3 linked regions of the Canis lupus familiaris genome follow. The protein of the gene in region 3 purifies or fractionates together with the protein of the main gene of each other region. This does not show direct contact. Links are inferred from orthologs where the notes say so. Each region holds a gene or a part of one and is shown on either strand. Other genes may lie near its edges. The genes, in order: DLAT, RAB7A and PDHA1.

Evidence for each region.
Region 1: the proteins of PDHA1 (region 3) and DLAT fractionate together in Homo sapiens (co-fractionation; 3 studies listed by BioGRID). This does not show direct contact. The link is inferred for Canis lupus familiaris from reciprocal best matches to the Homo sapiens genes PDHA1 and DLAT.
Region 2: the proteins of PDHA1 (region 3) and RAB7A fractionate together in Homo sapiens (co-fractionation; 3 studies listed by BioGRID, with this or other methods). This does not show direct contact. The link is inferred for Canis lupus familiaris from reciprocal best matches to the Homo sapiens genes PDHA1 and RAB7A.

The regions. Positions count from the first base shown.
Region 1 is NC_049226.1:21,103,730-21,107,375, reverse strand, and holds part of DLAT (dihydrolipoyllysine-residue acetyltransferase component of pyruvate dehydrogenase complex, mitochondrial), read left to right. Parts: intron 1-3,475; coding exon 3,476-3,591; intron 3,592-3,646.
Region 2 is NC_049241.1:2,781,907-2,786,162, reverse strand, and holds the start of RAB7A (ras-related protein Rab-7a), read right to left. Parts: upstream 2,851-4,256; 5' UTR 2,842-2,850; coding exon 2,789-2,841; intron 1,103-2,788; coding exon 976-1,102; intron 1-975.
Region 3 is NC_049260.1:15,414,624-15,418,968, forward strand, and holds the start of PDHA1 (pyruvate dehydrogenase E1 component subunit alpha, somatic form, mitochondrial), read left to right. Parts: upstream 1-1,423; 5' UTR 1,424-1,546; coding exon 1,547-1,603; intron 1,604-4,345. UniProt on the Homo sapiens protein: The pyruvate dehydrogenase complex catalyzes the overall conversion of pyruvate to acetyl-CoA and CO(2), and thereby links the glycolytic pathway to the tricarboxylic cycle.

The sequences.
Region 1 (3,646 bases), on a different chromosome or scaffold from region 3:
ATTTTGCCACGGATCCATTTTAGCCTAGCACAATCACTATGATTCTATGAGGCTAGATAAGAAACAGTATGTTTACTCTGTTTACAGTTAAGTACCAACTACCTACTTATGCTTAGCATGAGGCACTTTTAGGAATACAGCATAAGTCATAGTCCTCCATGAGCTTAAGTTTTTAATCTAATGGAGATAATGCATGTGAAAAACAGAAGAGGCAATTTTTATTAAAGTAAAAATACCCGTTGGTAGGTCAATTTCTTTATGGTAATGCCCCTTGACTGCTAAATTACACTGTATAGGTTAAGTGTTCTAGGAATTCAGAGAAGGAGGACACCAATAAAAGTAGTTGGGGAATTCACAGTGGTGTGGGAAAAACTTGATTAAGCTATGGAGAACAGGAAGGGTTTGCATTGGCAAAGAAGTTGAAGATAGTTCATTATACTGATGGAATATCATAAAGGCAAAATGCTTTTTAAAAAGGACGTAAGTGGGCAGCCCCAGTGGCTCAGCGGTTTAGCGCCTGCCTTCAGCCCAGGGCACGATCCTGGAGTTCCAGGATCGAGTCCCACATTGGGCTCCCTGCATGGAGCCTGCTTCTCCCTCTGCCTGTGTCTCTCATGAATAAATAAATAAAATCTTTAAAAAAAAAAAAAAATTGCATAGGAGGGACACCTGGGTGGCTCAGTGGTTGTCTGCCTTTGGCTCAGGGCGTGGTCCTGGGTTCCCAAAACAAGTCCCGAATCGGGCTTCCTGCAGGGAGCCTGTTTCTCCCTCTGCCTGTGTTTCTACCTCTCTCTCTCTCTCTCTGTGTGTCTCATGAATTTAAAAAAAAAAAAAAAAAAAAAAAAAATCTTAAAAAAAAAAAGAATTGAGTAGGAGGAGATATGAAAACTGTTTTCAAAGAAGTGAAAAGTAAAAGCCAGTGGCACTCAGCATTATACAGGTTATCTATAACCTCTCTGACCTCCTGCTTTTCCACTCCACTCCTTGCTCATTCTGCTCGAAAAAAATTGTCTTCCTGTTCCTCGACACTCTGCCTGTATACTCCTACTTTAGTCCCTTTGCACGTACTGTTCCCTCTGCATGGAATATTCTTCCCCTAGCATCCACCTGGTTTCTTCCTTTACCACCTTAAGGATTTGACTCAGTATCACCTTCTCTCATCTTCCCTGGTTACCTTATTCTAAAATTAAGGGAAGAGGAATGGGGTGAGTAATCAGTTTTCCCATTAGTTCTTTTCCTCTGTTTTTTTCTCTTTAACATTATCTTACATATTATATATTTCATTTATTTATTATCTGTCTACTCCTTTAGAATGTAAGATCCCTAAGAGTAGAATTTTTACCCATTTTTTTCCACTGCTTTATATCCAGGGATTTTTAGAACAGAGTACTCAAATATTAGATGCATGAATGAATAAAGCAAGAAGCATTAACAGGTAGTAACTGGCTATATGGCTTAAAGATGATTGCATGCTTTTACTAGCAAAATGGTAAAGCTATTTTATAATCTATTTGAAAATTAGACATGAAAAGTATGCATCCAGTGTATTATTTTATTCTTTTTAACAGTTTTATTTAGGTACATTTCACATATACCATTCAGCCACTTAAAGTTTACAATTCAGTGGCTTTTAGTATATCCTGAGTTCTATGACCATCACAATGGATTCTGGAACATTTTCATCACCCCAAAATGAAATCATTCTCCCATTACCTTAGCCCCCACTCCAATCCTCCCATCTTCCCCAACCCTAGATAATCACTACCTACTTTTTGTCTTAGATCTGCTTGTTTTGGGTATTTCCTGTAGGAATAGGGATTTCATTGAATCTGTAAATAATTTGGGGAGTATTGTCTTCTTAGTACTGTTCCTACTCCATGACCATGGAGTGTCTTTCCATTTATTTAGGTCTTCTTTCACTTCTTTCAATAATTTGTACAGTTTTTCAAGTATAAGTTTTTGTACTTCTTTTGTTAAATTTATTCCTAGATATTTTATTCTTTTTAATACTATTATAAATTTCATTTTCAGAGTGTTTATTGCTATTATAGAGCAATACTGTTGATTTTTGTGTATTGCTCTTGTATCCTAAAACCTTGTTTTTTATTTAGTGTTAAGATTTTCTTTTTTTTTTTTTCTTTAAGATTTTCTATATGCAAAATCATTCGTCTCCAAATAGAGATAATTTTGCTTTTTCCTTTCCAATTTGGATGTCATTTATTTCCTTTTCTCACCCAACTTCTTCAGCTAGCACATCTAGTAAAATGTTGACTGGAAGTTGTCTTGTTCTTGATCGTAAGAGGAAGTAAGTCTTTCACTAAAGTACAATGATGATGGTTGTGGGACTTTTGTAGATCTGTTTTATCATGAGATGTGGGAAGTTCCTTTCAATTCCTAGTTTGTTTGTTTTTTTTTTTTTTTTTCAATTCCTAGTTTTTATGAAGTGGTAGTTGAATTTGCTCAAAAGCTTTTTCTGTGTCTATTGAGATGGTCATGTGATTTTTGTCCTATATTCTGACATTATTACATTAATTGATCTTCAGATGTTAACCAACCTTGCATTTCTGGGACAAATTCCATTTGGCTGTGGTGAATAATCCTTTTCATATATTGCTGGATTTGGTTTGCTAGAATTTTTTTGAGGGTTTTTGGATCTGTATTCCTAGGTATTTGAGTTTTATTTTTTCTGGGTTTTGTTTTTTGTGTGTGTGTTTTTTTTTTTTTTTTTACTGTGATATCTTGGTCTGGTTTTGGTATTGGGTTAATACTGGTGTGTCAGAATGAGTGGAGAAGTGCTCCTTCTTTTGTGTTTTGGAAGATTTTGTGAAGAATTGATATTCTTCAGATGTTTAGCAGAATTCACCATTTGGGGAAGTCATCTGGGTCTAAGTTGTTCTGTGTGGGTATTTTTAAAATTATTCAGTCTCTATTACTAGTTACAGATCAATTCAGAGGTTTTATTCCTTTTTGATTCAGTTTTGGCAGCTTGTATCTTTCTAGGAATTTTCCATTTCATCTAAATTATCTAATTTGTGGGATAATTGTTATAGCATTACCTTACAATTTATTTGGTAGGTTATGTAGTAACGTCCCACATCATTTCTGATTAGAAATATGAGTCTTCTTTTTTCTTTGTCAGTCTAGCTGAACATTTATCATTTTGTTGATCTTTTCACGGAACCAACTTTTGGTTTTGTTCAGATAAGTGAAAATGAAGGCATAACATACCATAACTTAAGGGATACTGCTAAAGCAGGACTTAGTAGGAGGCTTATAGCTACAGACCTACATTAAAGACCTACAAAAAGGCCTACATTAAAAAGATGAAAAAACCAACTTTTAATTTCATTTCATCCTTTATACCTCAGGACATTTGTATTCTCCCCCCCCCCCCCCCCCAAGTCCCTGCCAGAGGTTATGTTTCAGTGTTTGGGAAGAGAGTTTAAGAAACTACGATGGTTTCTTGTCTTTGCAGATGTTAGAAGGGAGAAGCAAAATTTCTGTCAATGACTTCATCATAAAAGCTTCAGCTTTGGCATGTTTAAAAGTTCCTGAAGCAAATTCCTCTTGGCTGGACACAGTTATAAGACAGTAAGTAAGATACTGCTGGTCAAGGTATATGTATCCACCAGCAGATTTCTTGTGC
Region 2 (4,256 bases), on a different chromosome or scaffold from region 3:
AACACCTAGGCTAAAAGTTGGAGACTTTTCAGGATGGATGGAGATGGGACAAAGGGGTTGGGATGGAGATGGGACAAAGGGGTTGGGATGGAGGCAGACAGGTGCAACGACAGCTTGTTAAAAGCAGCACATGGTTTGGAAGGACTGGAAAAAGACAAAAAGTGAAGAATAGTTTGTAGTCAGAATGCAAAGACTTTCAAAAGGTCATATTAAGGAATGTGTATTTTATCCTAACTGTTGCAAGGGAAACCCCCTGAAAGATTAAAGTAAGGTGATACACAAAAAAGCCAGGCTAACTTAACAGAAATACAAAGTTGGTGGCTATAGATAGGACAGATTAAAAGTCAGAAAAACAGGGAAACTACATTAACAGCTACTATAAGAATCTAGGAGAGACCCAAAGATATTCTGACCTAAAATACTATGTGGCGATTTTTGTTTTTAAGATTTTATTTCTTTATTCATGAGACATGGGCGGGGGGGGGAGCACCCAGAGACACAGACAGAGAGAGAGGCAGGCTCCCCAAGGGGAGCCTGATTCGAGACTTGATCCCAGACCCCGGGATCATGCTCTGAGCCAAAGTCAGACGCTCAACTGCTGAGCCACCCAGGCGTCCCCCATGTGGGGATATTAAGAGAAAGGAATGAGTTAAACATTTTGGAGACAAAAGTTTGGGCCTGTATGTTATCAAATTCAGCAAAAACAAAAAACACAAACCAAACCAACAAAAAACCAGGAACTCCAATTAAATTTGAACTTTGGAAAACCAATGAAAAATTTCTAGTATGTCTCATGCAATGCCTGGGTCATACCTGATGTCCTGTATTTGTATCTGGCCATCCTACCTGCGACCAATTATCCATGAATATAGTAGTGGGAAATGAGGAATGGGGTGGGAAAATGCCTAGGCATGAACAAAAGAGTTCAGACTGAATGAACAAGGCTTGGGTGACAAAGTTGAGATGTGTGCTTACCTGCATTGTAACTAGTCTGTCATCCACCATCACCTCCTTTGTCAGAAAGTCTGCTCCTATTGTAGCTTTGTACTGATTACTGAATTTCTTGTTCACATACTGGTTCATGAGTGATGTCTTACCAACTCTGAAATTGGAGAAAAACCACAAGTATAGGTCAAGTTAGAAGGGGCAGAAAAATGATTCTGATATTTGCAGCTCTGAAGATACTTGCCAGCTTAAAGGATAACAAGCAACTGTAATCACAACAGAGGATAGTGCCAGCAAACTGCTCAGTGTTACTCATTCGAGGTTTTATTTTCTCCTGGAACAAAAGTACAGGGCTATAGATGTGGATCAGATGTTGAAAAGCTGCTCTTAAGTTTTGGTACAAGTAACTCAGATGGTAGAACTTAGTATTATTTTTTTCCTTCCAGAAAGATGTCAGCAAATACTCTCTTTCTAAAAGAAGCTACAGCAATAAGATCCTGCCACCATTCTAAAAATATCTCTGCTGTCCTGGGTGTCTCTCCATTTAGGGGCTGATATTCAGTCCAAGAAAGTAATAGCAGGAGAAAGTCACTGGCTATGAGCAGACATATATGCCAGTCAGCCACCTGCTACTTCAAAGATTAAAATCTGAAGTGAGGAAAGCATCAATATTCCCACCAAATCAGAATCTACCTCAGAGTAAGCTCCTCCAGGGAAGTTTTTCAGTAAGAAAACTCAGTAAGAGACAATGTGTGGATTTTTTTTGGTGATGAGATTAGTTAGGGCAGGCTGAAGATAACATAAAAGTCTTCTTCCAAGTCAACAGGATCACCTTCCTTTCCCTCTAAGGAACATATTCATCTTCATAGGCAGAGGACCTGGAAGTAAGTTATGGCTTAAGGCAGTGTTCTCCAATCCAGGTCACCTGGGTCTGAATTTTCAGGGGAGAGGTCAGGAGGTCTCTAATCAAATAAAGGCCCGGTGATTTTTCCCATGCAAGTTTGGGCCTAAAACAGTACCTTTCATTCCTGACAGCACAGTGGTCACCAGGAAGGAGGGAGGAGGGAGACAGAGAGATATATGTATTTAAGTACTGCCAATGAGGCCCAACACAATGGTCTGGAAAAATGCTTACTTTTGAAAAGCTCCTCAGGGCAATCAGAAAAGCCAGACAGGGTAGAAAAATCACTGCCTTCTTAAAGGGCAGGGAACTTTCGTGTAAGGAGGCACACCTGGATTTATCATCATCATCATCATCATCATCATCATCATTTAAAAAAAATACATAGCTTCTAGTTGGTCTAAGGTTTCCAGGTCACATCAGATGCTGAGTCTGAAAAGCCTCCCACAGAATCGTTAACAGCTACTGAAGAGTTAGTCACTTAATTAGTGGCAGATCTAGGATCAGAACCCAGTTTTCCAGTCGCAGGTTCTTTCAGATACACCCCAAATCAGACCCAGTAGTGGGAAGATACTGCACAGCTGTATCCAGACTCCAAACCCACAACTGGTAGGCATGAGGTCAGTGGCAACAAATCTACACATGAACAGAACTCCCTTGTCTAATCAGCTCAGAAAAAAGAGATTCCAGTGAAACCGTTCTTGAGTTTAAATGGCTACTCCTTCCCCTAAATCATGCCAAAGACCAGGGAACCAAGGATTACAGACTAAGAGATCATTAAAATTTCTGCTGTGCTTAAAAAAAAAAAATCTGCTGTGCTGGAAATGGCAAGAGACCTAGAACCCTACTGCCACTACTATTAGAGAAGTGGCAAATGTGAGCAGGGAGGGCATGGCTTCAAAGTCACATTTAATCCAAACCAATCTGTTACTTCAAACTTACCCAGAATCTCCCAGGATGATAACCTTCAGCAACACTTTCTTCCTAGAGGTCATCCTTCAAACTAAAAGGAGAAAGGAGAAAGTACTTGTGAGCGTGACAGAAATACCCAGGCAAACCTCATCCCTCTGTACAAGCATCAACACAGCCCCAGGAGCACTAAGCCTTCCCATTTAGCTATTTCCCTGCCACCCAGGGGGACCAGACAGAAAGCAGAATCAATCTTAGAACTTTGGACACAAGCTGGGCAAAATCATGAGAGGCAGGGTCATCCTGCCCCTTGGAGCAGTCTAAAAGGATGGATTCTCCCTCTCAGATGTTGCTGGATCACTGTGGATTAATGTTCAATTTAACAACTAGGCCCTGCTTCATTCAAGTCTCTGCTCACATAGCACTTCCTCAGAGACATGATCACTTTATCTAAAGTGGCACACCCTCTCCCCATCTGCTCTCTAACCCTTTACATTGCCTTACTTTTTTTCTTCAGAGCACTTACCACTACTTGACATCCAAATCTATTAATTTGTTTTCTCCCTTCTCCAACAACTTCCACCAAGACAGTTTTATTCCCCACTGCATCTCCAGTGCCAAGTAGAGAACAATTATCAAATATTGGGGTTGGGGGATCCCTGGGGGCACAGCGGTTTGGCGCCTGCCTTTGGCCCAGGGCACGATCCTGGAGACCCGGGATCGAATCCCACATCGGGCTCCCGGTGCATGGAGCCTGCTTCTCCCTCTGCCTGTGTCTCTGCCTCTCTCTCTCTCTCTATCATAAAAAAAAAAAAAAAAAAAAAAATTAAAAAAAAATTGGGGTTGGTGTGAGAACAATACTTGTTGACCTGCAGCTCTTGAGATCACCCTTTTCTAGAAAACCTTTCAGGGCAGCCCAGGTGGCTCAGTGGTTTAGGGCTGCCTTCAGCCCGGGGCCTGATCCTGGAGATGGGGGATCGAGTCCCACATTGGGCTCTCTGCATGGAGCTTGCTTCTCCCTCTGCCTGTGTTTCTGCCTCGCTCTCTGTGTGTGCCTCTCATGAATAAATAAAAAAAAATCAAAAAAAAAAGAAAGAAAGAAAGAAAAGAAAAGAAAAGAAAAGAAAAGAAAAGAAAAGAAAAGAAAAGAAAAGAAAGAACCTTTCAGGCAGCCTGGCTAGACAATATGTAAGATGCCTCATTTTTGCTTATCTCTATTCCAGAAATCTGCCCCTATTTACTTACTAAGGCAGGGTTCCTGTCTTAATTATCCCTTGGTCTCCTGAACCTGATTCTGAGTTTCAGAAAAGCAGGAGTCCTATATTCCGGACTCCAATGTTAGCAACTTACCTAAGACTGCTGGAGGATCACTCCTCAGACAGCTGGAATCCCCAGCAGAAGGCCTGCATTCTTCTCTATAATCAGGAATTCAAGACTGAATCGAGACTGATACCTACACCTGAGAAACCTTAGCTCTGGCCCATTATCCTCAGCAGACAGT
Region 3 (4,345 bases):
GACTAGCTCTGGTTTATGGAAATTGAGAGGACATGACATGTGTCACTTCTGGGTAGAAGCTTTGAGAGCCAGTTTATTTATTTATTTATTTTTTATTTATTTATGACAGTCACAGAGAGAGAAAGGGAGAGAGGCAGAGACACAGGCAGAGGGAGAGGCAGGCTCCATGCACCGGGAGCCTGACGTGGGATTCGATCTCGGGTCTCCAGGATCGCGCCCTGGGCCAAAGGCAGGCGCCAAACCGCTGCGCCACCCAGGGATCCCTATTTATTTATTTTTTTTAAGAGAGAGAGGCAGACACACAGGCAGAGGGAGAAGCAGGCTCCATGCAGGGAGCCTGACGTGGGACTCGATCCGGGGACCCCAGGATCACGCCCTGGGCTGAAGGCGGCGCTAAACTGCTGAGCCACCAGGGCTGCCCTGAGAGCCAGTTTAAATGATCCCTTTGCCTTTTACGGTACAGTAGGTACAGTAAGTTGCTGACAGATGCTATTCCATCAGTTTGAGTGCCAGAGTGAAGATGACATGGAGCAGATCCCAGCCAAGCCGTGAGGGACCTGAAGTGTAAACAAGGTGACTTGAGTCCTTGAGTCGGTTCAAGTTCTTGGAGTTCAAATTGTGGTTTCAGCCTCTCACCATTCTGACCACTGTCCCCTGGATTCCACCCATTTTTGACAACATTCCCCTTACATGGGGACCCCAAATCTGAACCTAGTATCCCAGGTGTAACCCCACTGGCCCACAGTCAGCTCTCTGACCTGGGAACTCACTGAATCGAGCCTAGACTTATTTTTGTGTTTGCTTCTTTGTGTGTGCTTTTATTATCAGCTGTGTCATGCGGCTGTTAACTCCCGTTGAGCTCGCGAACCAGTAACTAGAGCTAAAGGCTTTTCCCAGCTGATCTCTCAATATTTACTTGGGGAATTGATTTTTAGATCGTAACTCAAGTACACAGGGCAGCATTTTACAACTGTTACATGATCTCTTAAAGACAAGTTAGCAGCAGAACCATTTACAGAAACCAGAGGTTCCGTCTCGGCTCCGACCACGCCATGAGTCTTCATCTTGCCGTGCATTGAACGAAGGCTGCCAAAGTGCAGCCCCGGCGAGACTGGGCGCACGGCAGGTGGCCCGTACGGTTTCCCGCCGTGCACGCCTAACCTGAGTCGCAAAACTCCATGAAAAGCCATTTTCCCGCGGGGTTCCGGAGGCGGGGCTCCACTTTCCCAGGCGGACGCCCTCAAGTTCCCGCATCCCCGCCCGCCCGTGACGTGATGACGCAACGAGCCCCCCAGTGCCCGCCCCCTATGGCGCCAACACCCAATGAGCGGCCGCGGACCTCTTCGGTGGGCGGGACACGCAACTGGGAGCCCGCTTGGTTGGCCTGCGGCCTGGCGCGGCGCGTGACGAATTTCCGTTTCGTCGGTCGTGCTGCAGTTAAGGCGTGGCGTCCGCTCCGGGCGCCTGAAGGAGACTTGGGAGATTTCGGGGCCGCGCCGCCTGTGTACTTGGGAGTCGCCTACGCCGCCGCCGCTGCCGGCAATCCATGAGGAAGATGCTCGCCGCTGTCTCCCGCGTGTTGTCGGGCGTCTCCCAGAAGCCGGTGAGGCAGCAGCATGGGCGGCCCGGGGTAGGGCGCGAGCGGGGTCGAGGCGGGGCCCGACGCGGGAGTACGGCCAGGGCTTGGGGGCGCGCGGTGTGGTGCCTCTTAGGGCGCTGCGGAGCGGCCGGAGGGTAGCGGGCCTTTTGTTCTGCCTTCGCGCCTGGCACTCGGCTCCCTGCTCCGGGACTAGCGGCTGCTGGGCCCATCAGCCGCAAAAGGGGGGAGGGGAGCTCTACCAGGTCCACGGGGAGGTCAGCTGTGACTCCCGGCGCTGGCTACAGTAGGTGTGCTCCAGAAATGCCCGTTCATTTACTGCTGACAGAAAAGGGGGCCTGGGGCATCCACGAGTCCCCAGTTGATCCTGCCCATTCATTTGAAGTCTTCCTAATTTTGTTCTTCTTGACTAAGAGGCCACGTGGTGTGTTAAGAACGTGAACTTCAGAAACTGGTCCTGTTCAAACACCTGCCTCACCATTTACTAGCTCTGTGAGCTTAGGCAGGTTTTTGTTTTAAATCTCCCTTGCTCGGTTTCCAGCTCTCTAAAGAGATAATACGAGTATTCACCCCAAGGGGTTGTCCTGAAGCTTAAACTCTTGACATATATGTAAACCTTGCCAAATAGCGCCTGGTATATAGTAGGTGCTATCTGTGTTAGATGTTATTTCAGGGGCACCTGGGTGGCTTAGTGGTTGAGAGTAGGGCTTTGGCTCAGGTAGTGATCCCGGGGTCCTGGGATCAAGTTCCACATCAGGCTCCCCACGGGAAGCCTGCTTCTCCCTCTGCCTATGTCTCTGTCTTTCATGAATAAATAAAATCTTTTTTAAAAATGTTACTTCAGTGCCCCCTTGGGTATACATTTGTGAAACACCTTCACCCAGCTCTGGAGGGTTAAGTCTGGGTCATGCTCACCAGAAATCACCACCCCTCCTTTCCCACAGTGTTGAGTTTTTCTTGGCAGTCACTTCCAAGAGCAGTCAAGCAGAACCCGGAGGAAATTGCCCTTCTTACACGCACACGCTTAGGGTAAAAGTAGCTAAAGAAAACAGCTTTGGTGCTTGGGAGAGTGGGGTTAGAGGTCAGCACTATTTATGGCTCCAGTTTTTAGATGTGCCTCAAGCCTTCCAGCATTTTGACCTCTAGGTATGGGGAGGTAGTATTACTGGGTAGAACTGTAGCCAAGCTTGACTTGCAGTTCAGGTTCTAGTAACTTCCAGGACTTTGTGGCAGTTCTGCTTACTGTGGGCAGAAATCATTGAAAGGTAGGAAGTATACCCTTTTGGGAATCCCATTGACTGAAATAACTACAAAACATAATTGGGGGGAAAAAAAACACAATTTGGTTCATCAGTCATTAGCATTTAATTGCAACTAGATCCACCTAAAGGATAAGCTCATTTCAGTGTTATTTCTGTATATCACATGATAGATCCAACATTTCTTGAGATCTTAATATGTGCCAGATGCTAGGCTATTTAATCTCCACAACTTCAGTTTTTAGTTGAATGTAAGTAATGGAAACACGTGTTCAACTTTATATGAGAATCTTAGTTTTGTATCATGTTAAATTTAAAGGGTTGTAGTAGAAAGGAAAAACTTTGATAGAATTGGTGATGTTCTACAGAAAAAAATTAGTGTATGCGTTTCAAATTACTGTCATCTCTGTGTCCCTAGGAACAGAGAGAAGCCATTAATATTAGAGGCTCATTTGCTCGGCTATCCAAAATATTTCTGGTTGTGTTTTTCAGTCTTCCAGCAATGCGTTGGCATGAAATGCTTCATCTCCATAAAACTTTGGTCTCTTCAAAAAATCATATACTACTGCCCAAATCAAATAGAAATGAATTTTGAGGGCAGCCCAGGTGGCTCAGCGGTTTAGCGCTGCCTTCAGCCCAGGGCCTGATCCTGGAGACCTGGGATCGAGTCCCACGTCAGGCTCCCTGCATGGAGCCTGATTCTCCCTCTGCCTGTGTCTCTGCCTGCCTCTTTCTCTCTCTCTCTCCCCCCTCACCCCCCTCTCGAATAAATAAATATTTTTAAAAAAATGAATTTTGAGTTCTAGTAATTTGTTAACTGGATAAGATCAGAGTAGAATATAACTTCATTTAGTCAAAAATTGTTATTGAGAGAAAAGATTATTACAGCGGAAATGGATTCCTATGTATAACATTTCTTCTATTTAATTAGTTTTTTTAAAAATAACCATTAGAGAGATGCCTGGGTGGCTCAGCAGTTGAGCTTCCACCTTCAGCTCAGGGCGTGATCCCAGAGTACCGGGATTGAGTCCCACATTGGGCTTCCTGCATGGAGCCTGCTTCTCCCTCTGCCTATGTCTCTTGCCTCTCTGTCTCTGTCTCTGTGTCTCTAATGAATAAATAAATAAAATCTTAAAATAAAAACGATTAGAGACAGTGACAGTACAACATTTTCCCTTACGTTCTCTAAGATATTAAACACCTACTTTATACAATGAGTTTTTTGAAAGACAAATTCCTTAAACTTATTTGTATCACCTGTGCTTAGAAAGTGGTTGTTTCTGTCTTGATGGGAGTAACATCTGGTATGCTTACTTATTTTTAAAGACACTTTTGCAAATCAAAGTGTCAAACCCAGAATGGGAACTTGGCAATCTGTGGAATAAGAAACTTACCCAGTTCATGACGGTTTCAAGTGTGTTTCCTTTCATCTAACAATGATTTTTTAGCATTAAGAAGTACAGGTTCAAAAAAGTATTGGTCTCTGATG